2 linked regions of the Arabidopsis thaliana genome follow. The protein of the gene in region 2 interacts with the protein of the main gene of each other region in a pairwise test. Each region holds a gene or a part of one and is shown on either strand. Other genes may lie near its edges. The genes, in order: AT3G07270 and NPY4.

Region 1 (5,546 bases), on a different chromosome or scaffold from region 2:
AAAAGGATATAAGAAACAATAGGAAAACGTGCTTGTGGCATGCAACGTTGTTTTTTTTTTAGATACAGATACAAGGCTATTTTCTAAATTCAAAATCTTAATCCGACCAAATTTAAATCTATAAAAGTGATTGGTTACAGACACTATTTTACTTTTTTGTCTTTTTCAAGAAGTTATTTGGATTTTCAAAATTACAGCATTAATTAAAATAGTAAACATATGTTAAAAGCCTAGGCGGATAAGTGAAAATATGATTTAAAACATTTCTAATGCATATTTTATTTTATTTTAAAGGAGATTTTAAAATATAGAGAATAATTCAATGTGCCTTTATTTTATTTTAGAGAAAATTCTATTTTAGATATATATAATGGACTAAAATTTTTTATATAAAAAAAAATTTCTTAAATAAAAAATAATATAAAAATGAACATTGGAGATGGTCCGTAAAAAAAATGGAATATTGGAGATGATCTTGTTTAAATACTAATTACGGAACTACCTACTTTAGAGATATCTATGTGTTAATAATTGTGGTATGTGCTAATGATATGGCTATGTCATCCTCTTATGTTATATTGCAAGTTGTTTCAAAACGAAAAGTATTTGAAAATGGTCGATTATTATACGTATATACGAGTAAAAACATATTTCAGTCCGAACTAATATAATTATACTCTCTAACTACTTTCTTTTTTTGGTGAAGTACTCTCTAACTACCTTACGACAACAATTATTACCTGAACATTGAACAATGAATTTATTACGAAATACAACATGATCTACAAGATATATCGTGAAACACATTTAAATAGTCCTTATTTGGCGTTAAAAATTGTGTTCATGGTAAGTTTAATTAGCGTATAAATATGTACGATAGATATAGTTTGGGTTGAAATCGTATATTTTCCCCTTTTCTCCGTTATATGATTAAAAAAAAAACAATTTGAGGCATAGAATAAGCCCATTTAACTCCTACTAGCCTCACTCACTTCCCCAAATTTCTTAATCACCACTGGATACTATGGGCTATCTAATTTATTTTAAAATAATAAATAATAACTACTTAATTTTTTATAACATTTTTGGGGGCAACAACTTAATTTTTAATGGACCTTATAATTAATGGAAAACTGAAATAATTAAAATAATTATTACTAGATGACTAACTTTTTTATACAAATTACCAAAAGTGAATATGGAAGATTTTTTTGTTTTTTTGTTTTTTTTTGCAACATACCCTCAATAGTTTAAAACTATGCACTTTTATTTTTTACATTTAATGTTATTTCTAATGATACTGTATTACATTTTAAAAAAAAAATTTATTTTAAATATAGCACATTATTTTAACATATTCATTATGCACTTTAGTTATGATTTTGTCACATATTTTTGTTATCTATCTAATTAGCTCAATAATTAATTACTCTTATATTTGCTTAGGATGTAAAATGGAAACTTATCATAAAATAACATGTAAATATTATTAAAAATAATTTATTTTCTTATTTGTCAAAGATAATGTACTTATTATAAACACTAAAACAAAAATAAGTAATCACCATTAAACTTATTTTTATGTAAATGATATCTAATGATTAAATGGTATATATTGGTGGATAATGATGTAGATATATTCAAAGATTAAATACTATTTTTATGTCTGTACATATATGGTTATTTTAAAATTTTTATTTATGTCTATATGTCTCCTTATATATGAATGATTCCACCAAAACTCTTTTTTTTTCTCAACACATTCCTTATGAACTTTGTATACTTTGGCTATATATATCAAATTAAACACAAAGAACAAGAATGTACAATAAACCATTCTTCTGCCATGGATACAAAAGGTACTTTCCTTGTCCTATCTTTCTTCAATTATATTACACAGCCCTTATTTTACATTTGATATCTACAAATTAACATACATTTGTATATGTAAATCAGTTATCAATGCTCTTCCACTATCGATTTGGTAGTCTTTCTTCTCCAAAGTCCAAACCATGTTGCATTGAGAGGATCATCTCTATTAATGTCTGAAAATCTGTTTTTTTTTTCTTCATACATCATGTTTTCTCAGTCGGCTTGAGGAAGGCAACGCTTTCCACTTGATCTAATAAGATATTCATCTCAAGCTAACAAGAGAAAGCTTTTTTTGTTCTCTTTCTGAAACTAAAACTTATAAAAAAATCTCTAATGTTTTCTTATCCTTTCACTCGTAAACGTATTACGTATAACAGTAGAAACTTATCATGATACAAATAGTTCGTTTCTTTGATTACTTTTTAAAAATGACTTTGTAATTTCATTGATTCTGCTTTACGAATGCTGAATCTGGAATTTTGTTTTGCTTTTGTTTAGATTATATATATTTTAGATACATATAATATAGTTAGTTTCAGTTAGAGTATATACTAATAAAGAGCGACCGATCTAATAAAATTAGTCTACTAGATTGGTTAGGTAGAGTCTTTAAATATAATCTTGCAATTGATATTCCCTATCAGAGCATATTATAAGAAAAGTTCCGGTGACGTATTCAACCATTAAACCAAGAGATAGAGAATATGATTTTAAAAAGTTGATTTGGAGATTATCATCTATAGTTTTTTCTGCCATCTCTGGTAATGTAGATTTTTTATTTCCACAAATAGGTGAAAAAAAAGAAGGAAAAGAATCAAGTGGGTTACTAGCTAGGTTGGTCGGTAACATTATTATTTTGGGACAGAACATGTTGAAAGGTTTGGTGCATTCGAAAAGTCTTCGCCGCCTTGCCTTTTTAAATAATTTTTGTTTTAAACATCACTAAAAAGACTATAGTCTATAGAAAAAGAAAAGAAAAAAAGTCATTAGTTTTAATCGCATTACGCTTTCGGATAACACGAAAGGTTAAATTATAAAATGAACGATTTTACGAATCCACATATTCCTGGATCAACGGGAACCCTTCGTTTCTTTCCCACCCGCGTGTTATCCCGTTTCTCAAATTTCTCATCTTTCCGGGAAAATTCACTTTTTTTTTTTCCTGGGAAGATTCGTTGTGTTGTGAATTTTAGTGGGCACCTTCAAATTTTCGATTTTTTTTTTATTTTCCTTGTCTCTTACCTGATTTGGTGATTTATTATTACATCAACCACTCGATTCGTTAGATTTCCGGATTTGAAAAAGAGTCACCAACTTGTACGGATTCTCGTTTTGGGGATCGAGTATTGCTGATTTGTGATTTTGTTGTTTTTGGGTACTTTCCCTTTGTGGATTCGGATCTGGTTGGTGGCTTTGTCAAATGGGCGCATTAGATGAGGGATGTTTGAATCTGGAGCTCGACATTGGAATGAAAAATGGCTGCATTGAGCTTGCTTTCGAGCACCAACCTGAGACTTTAGCAATCCAAGACGCTGTCAAACTTCTCTTGCAAGGTCTTCATGAAGATGTCAATCGGGAAGGCATCAAAAAGACTCCTTTCCGTGTCGCCAAGGCCCTTCGTGAAGGGACCAGAGGTAACTATGAATCTCTTGCTCTTTTCTTCATCTTATAAGTAACTCTGTTCTTGAGCTATTGACCCTGGTTAGTTTATGTCCCGTGTAGTAGCTTGTTACTTGGCTTATTTGTTGTTATGATCTATTAGGATCTCCCTTTTTTTTTGTTTCCATTGGTGAAATAAGTTAGAATGTGGAAAGTATCAATCTTGGTGGCTTTTTTTCTCAGGTTATAAGCAAAAGGTGAAGGACTATGTACAGAGTGCTCTGTTTCCAGAAGCAGGGTTGGATGAAGGAGTTGGGCAAGCAGGAGGAGTCGGAGGACTTGTTGTTGTCAGAGACCTCGATCATTACTCTTACTGTGAATCTTGCTTGCTTCCTTTTCATGTCAAGTGTCACATAGGTTATGTCCCATCGGGCCAGAGAGTGTTAGGACTGAGCAAGTTCTCTAGAGTCACTGATGTTTTCGCCAAGCGGCTCCAAGACCCTCAGCGTTTGGCTGATGATATTTGTTCAGCTCTCCAACATTGGGTCAAACCAGCTGGAGTCGCTGTTGTTCTTGAATGCTCTCACATTCACTTCCCCAGTTTGGACTTGGACTCTCTGAACTTGTCTAGCCACCGTGGATTTGTGAAGCTACTGGTTTCCTCGGGGTCAGGAGTTTTCGAGGATGAAAGCTCGAATCTTTGGGGTGAATTTCAGAGTTTCTTGATGTTCAAAGGTGTAAAAACGCAAGCTTTGTGCAGAAATGGCAGCTCTGTGAAAGAGTGGTGCCCAAGCGTTAAAAGCTCGTCTAAATTATCACCTGAAGTTGACCCGGAAATGGTTTCTGCTGTTGTTTCCATCCTGAAATCACTGGGAGAAGATCCGTTGAGGAAAGAACTCATTGCTACACCAACTCGATTCCTCAAATGGATGTTGAACTTCCAAAGAACCAACCTCGAAATGAAGCTAAACAGCTTTAACCCTGCCAAAGTCAATGGCGAGGTCAAAGAGAAAAGGCTGCACTGTGAGCTGAACATGCCCTTCTGGTCAATGTGTGAACATCATTTGCTTCCTTTCTATGGAGTTGTTCATATTGGCTACTTTTGTGCTGAAGGATCCAACCCCAACCCTGTTGGAAGTTCACTCATGAAAGCGATTGTACACTTTTATGGGTTCAAGCTTCAAGTGCAAGAGAGGATGACTCGACAGATCGCTGAAACGCTATCGCCTCTTGTTGGCGGGGATGTGATTGTTGTGGCGGAAGCTGGGCATACTTGTATGATCTCTAGAGGAATTGAGAAGTTTGGAAGCAGCACCGCGACAATCGCAGTTTTGGGTCGGTTTTCGAGTGACAATTCCGCAAGAGCGATGTTTCTAGACAAGATCCATACAACTAATGCCTTGAAGACAGAGTCAAGCTCTCCATTTTGAGATGGTTTCATGTCTGTTTGTTGTCTTTTTTTTATGCTTCTGCTTGTCTTCTCTTTTTTTTGTTATATGATAAATACTTCGGAAGTTGCTAAACTTCGGAAGCAAACCAATGATTTCTTGGTTTTGATTCTTCTTCATGGGTTTGTTTGTTTCTACATGGAAAATGAATATTTATCTTTATGTTAGGTGTGACATTCTCTTAATATAGATAGATTTTGTTAGCCATACTATTACTACATTGGACTTTGTTTAGAATGAAAAGAGATATTGAAATTTGAAAGTTTATAAAGCATTACTCAATCCTGTTATGTTTCCAGAGCTTGAGTGTAAACATCTCTCTTTCCAAAAATGGTACTAAGAGAAAAAGGATGAAGACAAAGTTATCTGTACACAAGAGACGATCAAGATTTTGTATGGATTCCAAGAATAACTTTGACCCAGAAAAGGGGAAACAAAGTAGATACAATTGTAATGTATTAGTGGGTAATTTATAAGATCTCTCCCCTATTCTCTCTATATCCTCTCTAATATACAACTTAATGCTAAACCCATCTTCTGATGATGACACAGCCGAATCAAAACTGAACCAAAAGTCTATCAGATGCTTACCGCAAATCTCATTTCCAACAATCACACTCTCGAAAA
Region 2 (4,482 bases):
GCCCGGTTCGGCTAAGTTCTTGGAGTATCCACCGGACTCGTGGGCGGTTTTAAGCGTGTGGAATTGTAAAGACTCGTTTAGATTAGAAGTTCGCGGCGCGTCGAGATTGAGGCGCGTGGTTTCAAAAGCGACGCGCATGGTTGATAAAACTCTACCGTTTTTGAAAATACCGTCGATCCCGGCGGTTTTCCGGCCGTTTGGGCTGCATTTTATGTACGGAATCGGCGGAGAAGGACCACGCGCGGAGAAAATGGTGAAGGCATTGTGTGACCATGCACATAATTTGGCAAAGGAAGGAGGATGCGGCGTGGTGGCGGCAGAAGTCGCCGGCGAAGAGCCGCTCCGGCGAGGGATACCGCATTGGAAAGTGCTATCGTGCGCTGAGGATTTGTGGTGTATTAAACGGCTTGGAGAAGATTATAGTGATGGTTCTGTTGGTGATTGGACTAAATCGCCACCTGGCGATTCTATTTTTGTTGACCCTAGAGAATTTTAGTTTTATAACTCAAAATGACATAATTAATTTATATTTAAGGAAAGGAATATTATTCAACTTTCTCTATCAGATTTTTTTTATTTTTCTTATTTCCAAATTTTTCCATTATTGTTTGACTACAAGTTTGTGATTTTATTTCCCAAATTAGTGAAATTACCATCATCAACGAGACAAATGAATGCAAAATTTGCTCTGATTTTTATTCTCATTTAAAATTCGAGATGAGAAAGGCTTCAAGCCGAACACAAAGCCCATTAAAACTTGGCCCAATTACAAAGGTCAAGCACCAAATGTTTTCTAATTTAGGAAAATGAAAACTACCAGTAAAACTCAAAGATGGTGTTGAAGAAACAAAATAAGAAAGATTCAATCAAAACTCTTTCTCATGGTCCCATTCATCATCCTCAGTGTTTAGAGTAGTAGTGGTAAGCTCAGGAGTGCTATATCCTGTTGATGAACCATTGGCTCTAATCTGTTCAAAGAAGAGAACTTGCACAATCACCCGCATTGGCAAACGTTCGTTCTGTACCGCATGTTCACACGCTTCCGCGGATAGTTTCCTACAATCCATTAGCCCGCATACTCTCTTCTTCTCGCTCTTGCTAATCCCCGAATGTTCCTGAAAATTTTCCAAATTATTAACAAATCAAGAAACGTTATGAAAAACAGAGGATTTGAATCTTGTTTTACCTTTAGAAACATGTCAATTGCGCGATATAACACGTCGTGAGAGTGTCTTGGGAAGCTAGAGAGTGTCTCAGCGAGAGAGAGGAAGTTCTGAAGAGGGAGATTAGGATCTCTTGATTTCTCAGCTAAGTATCCATCAATGAGCTTTGCCACGGATACTTTCGAGTGAGTTTTCGGATCACGGTTCATAAACTCCTTCACTAGGCTCTGCACCATATCCAAATCATACATTAAGATATCATTCACTGTTGTCTCTTCAAGCTGCTCGCTGACTCTTTTCTTTAACTTTTCTTTCACGGTTTCTTCACATCCAAGAAAGATCGATGCTCGATGTAGCTTGGTCAAGAAGCTAGAGGAAATGTTTCCTTTCTCATCCGGGAGAAGCTCTATGATTGTATTAATCAAAGATCTATCAATGAGTTGCATGGACTCTTTGCTAAAACCAGCTATTCTTCTTATTGCATAAGCATGTAATGCTTCTCCAATAACGTTACTCGGGACTTTACCTCGGTTCTTGATTGCTTTGATGGCTTGTTTATACAAATCGATGTGAAGCTCGCATAAATCTTCCACCCACCAGTCTTTTGGAACACCATCTTCTGGTTTTCTCACTTTCTCAAGCTTCTTCTTCCTGTTGTAAGTATAAGACCATTTGACTTTCGAGGTGTCTATCGAAGCAGTAGAAGCAATAGAGCCGAGACAACGCTTCACGAGCTCCTCTGAGTCATCAGACAAGAGATCTTTTGTGGTCTGAAGAACAATGATAGAATCTTTCCAACTACGGAAGATGGTTGAGTTCAAGAAAACATCAATCTTGTAAACGAGATTGCTTTTCTCAAACGTTTCATTCATCTCCAAGAACTCAGCCGCGCAACGAACCGCAACCACATTGTAAGCGTTTAAAGTAACCGTGATGCCGTAACAGAACTTGACACAAATCTCAAAAGCAACAGAACCACCAGGAATCTCTGATATGTCAATCTCATCAATTTGGTTCTTCTTCTCCTCTTCATTTTTTGATGTTGCTATGTGTTTCTGCAAGAATCCGCTTTTCGACAGCAATGGGAACTGAAAAACACACAAAAACATAAAAACTTTGCTTCTTCTTTGATGTTTTAAAAGCTAGAGTTTGTTTCATACCTTATGCAGATAGAACTTGACATTGCCGATGATGATGATGATCTCTGTTTCTAACTCATTTGTTACATACCTAAGAGCCAATAAAAATAATATCAGTTTTAGAAAAAACATTGCTTAAGCATAATCAGAGAAATACATAGAGGTAAATATTTGTTTTCTACAAACCTAACATTGTCTCCTTTAGACAGAAATGAATCAGGTTTGGTTCCAAGTTTCATAAACTTCATTTTTTTCTATCTCTTTAATAAGTTATTGCACACAAGACTTTCAAGATCTTTAGACACAAAAGAGAAAACAAAGCTAAGGATCTTAGAAGAGATCTATGCACAATCTTGTTTTCAAGAAAGCTTAAAAGGGTCACTTTAAAAAGAAACATTGTTTTATATACATGTAAACAAATATATAATTTACAGAGAAAACTTAGAGATTCACAACAACACACCCACCAACCTCTCAAGGCTCGAAAACCCAAACACCACGCTTGTTTTTTTTTTTTTTTTCTTTTTTTCTAAGTGCTTGGCACATGAACTCCTCTTTTTGGTTGCCCATTGTGTTGTAAATTTGTTATGTTAAAATATAAACCCGAATCCAAAAGTTGCATCTTTCCTGCGGTAATCAGAATTTCTTGGTAACATTTATTCAAAGGACAAAACGAATCAAATCTTTTTGTATGTTTTCTATAAAGATGGTTAGTGAAAGCATAACATCAGAGAAGTCAGAGATCGTTTCTCGATACACATATTTTCTACTTTTCAACATACTTTAAAATTTAATCAAGGATCAAAATCGTGGAGTGGTTCAAAGAACCCTAAAAGAAAATTACAACTACAAATATCAAATACCAAGTGTAGTTCAACCTATATAAGTGTTATGTTTATTAGAATGTTAAGTTAGGATATTCTTACGCTAGTATATAAAGTTTATGGACTTCTGCATTCAAAAAACAAAACAAACACATAAAATATTAGCGAAAGTCTCTCATCTAATGAGAAGCACATAGAGCTGATAAACATAAAAATCGAAACTTTATTTATCTTTGTTGTTCTCTTTGGGTCACAATAGACCGGCCCATTAGCCTAGTCACACCGGCCCATTAGCCCAGTCAACTCCATTGTAGAAGAGAGGACTTGATTTTGGGTGAGATTGAGAGAGAGAAGAAGAGAATCGTCAAGTGTTTATGGTGGTGAAAGTTATAAGAATCGTTAAATTTGACGAAAGGGTACGTAAAAGAACTTCCTTTTTGATGATTTATCTATATATTAGACGTAATTGATTGTTTCTGATTTAAGTATCGTGGCATTGTGAAAAATTTGATAGGCACGAGACTATGCACACCAGTTGCTCGACGAATTGTCTAACTAAGATATTCTTTCTCTAAATCTGCTTTTTTTTTTTTGTTTGGTTCTTTAATTATGTTTTTGCTGTTAACTGTTCGAATTTGTGATCATACCCTTTAGATTATTAGAATCATATCTTCTCTAGTGATATGTGTGTGAATGAATCAATGATAAAAGACTCTCCTTTTTCTTAATCAAACTGTGCTTTGTACGTAATTTTTATCTATTATATTCTCATGACATTTTGATCCACTTGTGATCAGCACAAGATCAGTATAAAGTTGAAGTTGATCAATTTGTGGAGCATGGATCCTGAATATACCGACGATTTATTAAAGTGCGTCTTTGTTTTCAGTTTTACGCTTATTTTTCGTGTGTGCATTGCGTATAATGATTTACCGTTGTTAGCACATCAACAGCCATTTGGAGAAGCAAACTGAATTGCTTTTAGAAACTCGTAAAACGATGACTCAAGAACTCCAAACACTTGAGGTTTGTTTGATGAAACTTTGTGTACTTTTGATATGAATAATATGAGCAAGAAATCAATCTTACATACATTTGTGTTTATAGGTGGAAGAAGAGATGATGATGCGGAAATTCTATGAGTTAATGTCTAGACAGCGCTTAAATAAGAAGGTTTGTATAAAGATAGTTTTTTTTTTTTGAAGATGATAATGTTGGTATTGATTGAGATTGATGTTGGTTCTTTTGAAGAAAATGGAGAAGACTCAAAATGTGTCACATGGTAAAGAAATAGTTGAAGTGGAAGATACTTCTAGTACATCCAGAGAGTTAATCGTATATGTAAGGAAAAGGAAA

Evidence for each region.
Region 1: the proteins of NPY4 (region 2) and AT3G07270 interact in a two-hybrid assay, tested with the Arabidopsis thaliana proteins (one large-scale study listed by BioGRID).

The regions. Positions count from the first base shown.
Region 1 is NC_003074.8:2,312,159-2,317,704, forward strand, and holds AT3G07270 (GTP cyclohydrolase I), read left to right. Parts: upstream 1-1,839; 5' UTR 1,840-1,846; coding exon 1,847-1,859; intron 1,860-2,273; exon of another isoform or gene 2,274-3,292; coding exon of another isoform or gene 3,293-3,305; coding exon 3,306-3,506; intron 3,507-3,714; coding exon 3,715-4,901; 3' UTR 4,902-5,030; downstream 5,031-5,546. UniProt on the Arabidopsis thaliana protein: GTP cyclohydrolase 1 is the first enzyme in the biosynthetic pathway leading to folic acid.
Region 2 is NC_003071.7:9,808,853-9,813,334, reverse strand, and holds NPY4 (Phototropic-responsive NPH3 family protein), read right to left. Parts: upstream 2,694-4,482; 5' UTR 2,551-2,693; coding exon 2,489-2,550; intron 2,394-2,488; coding exon 2,324-2,393; intron 2,252-2,323; coding exon 1,187-2,251; intron 1,116-1,186; coding exon 867-1,115; 3' UTR 673-866; downstream 1-672. Other genes in the region: AT2G23060 (Acyl-CoA N-acyltransferases (NAT) superfamily protein), read left to right, coding at 1-496. UniProt on the Arabidopsis thaliana protein: May act as a substrate-specific adapter of an E3 ubiquitin-protein ligase complex (CUL3-RBX1-BTB) which mediates the ubiquitination and subsequent proteasomal degradation of target proteins.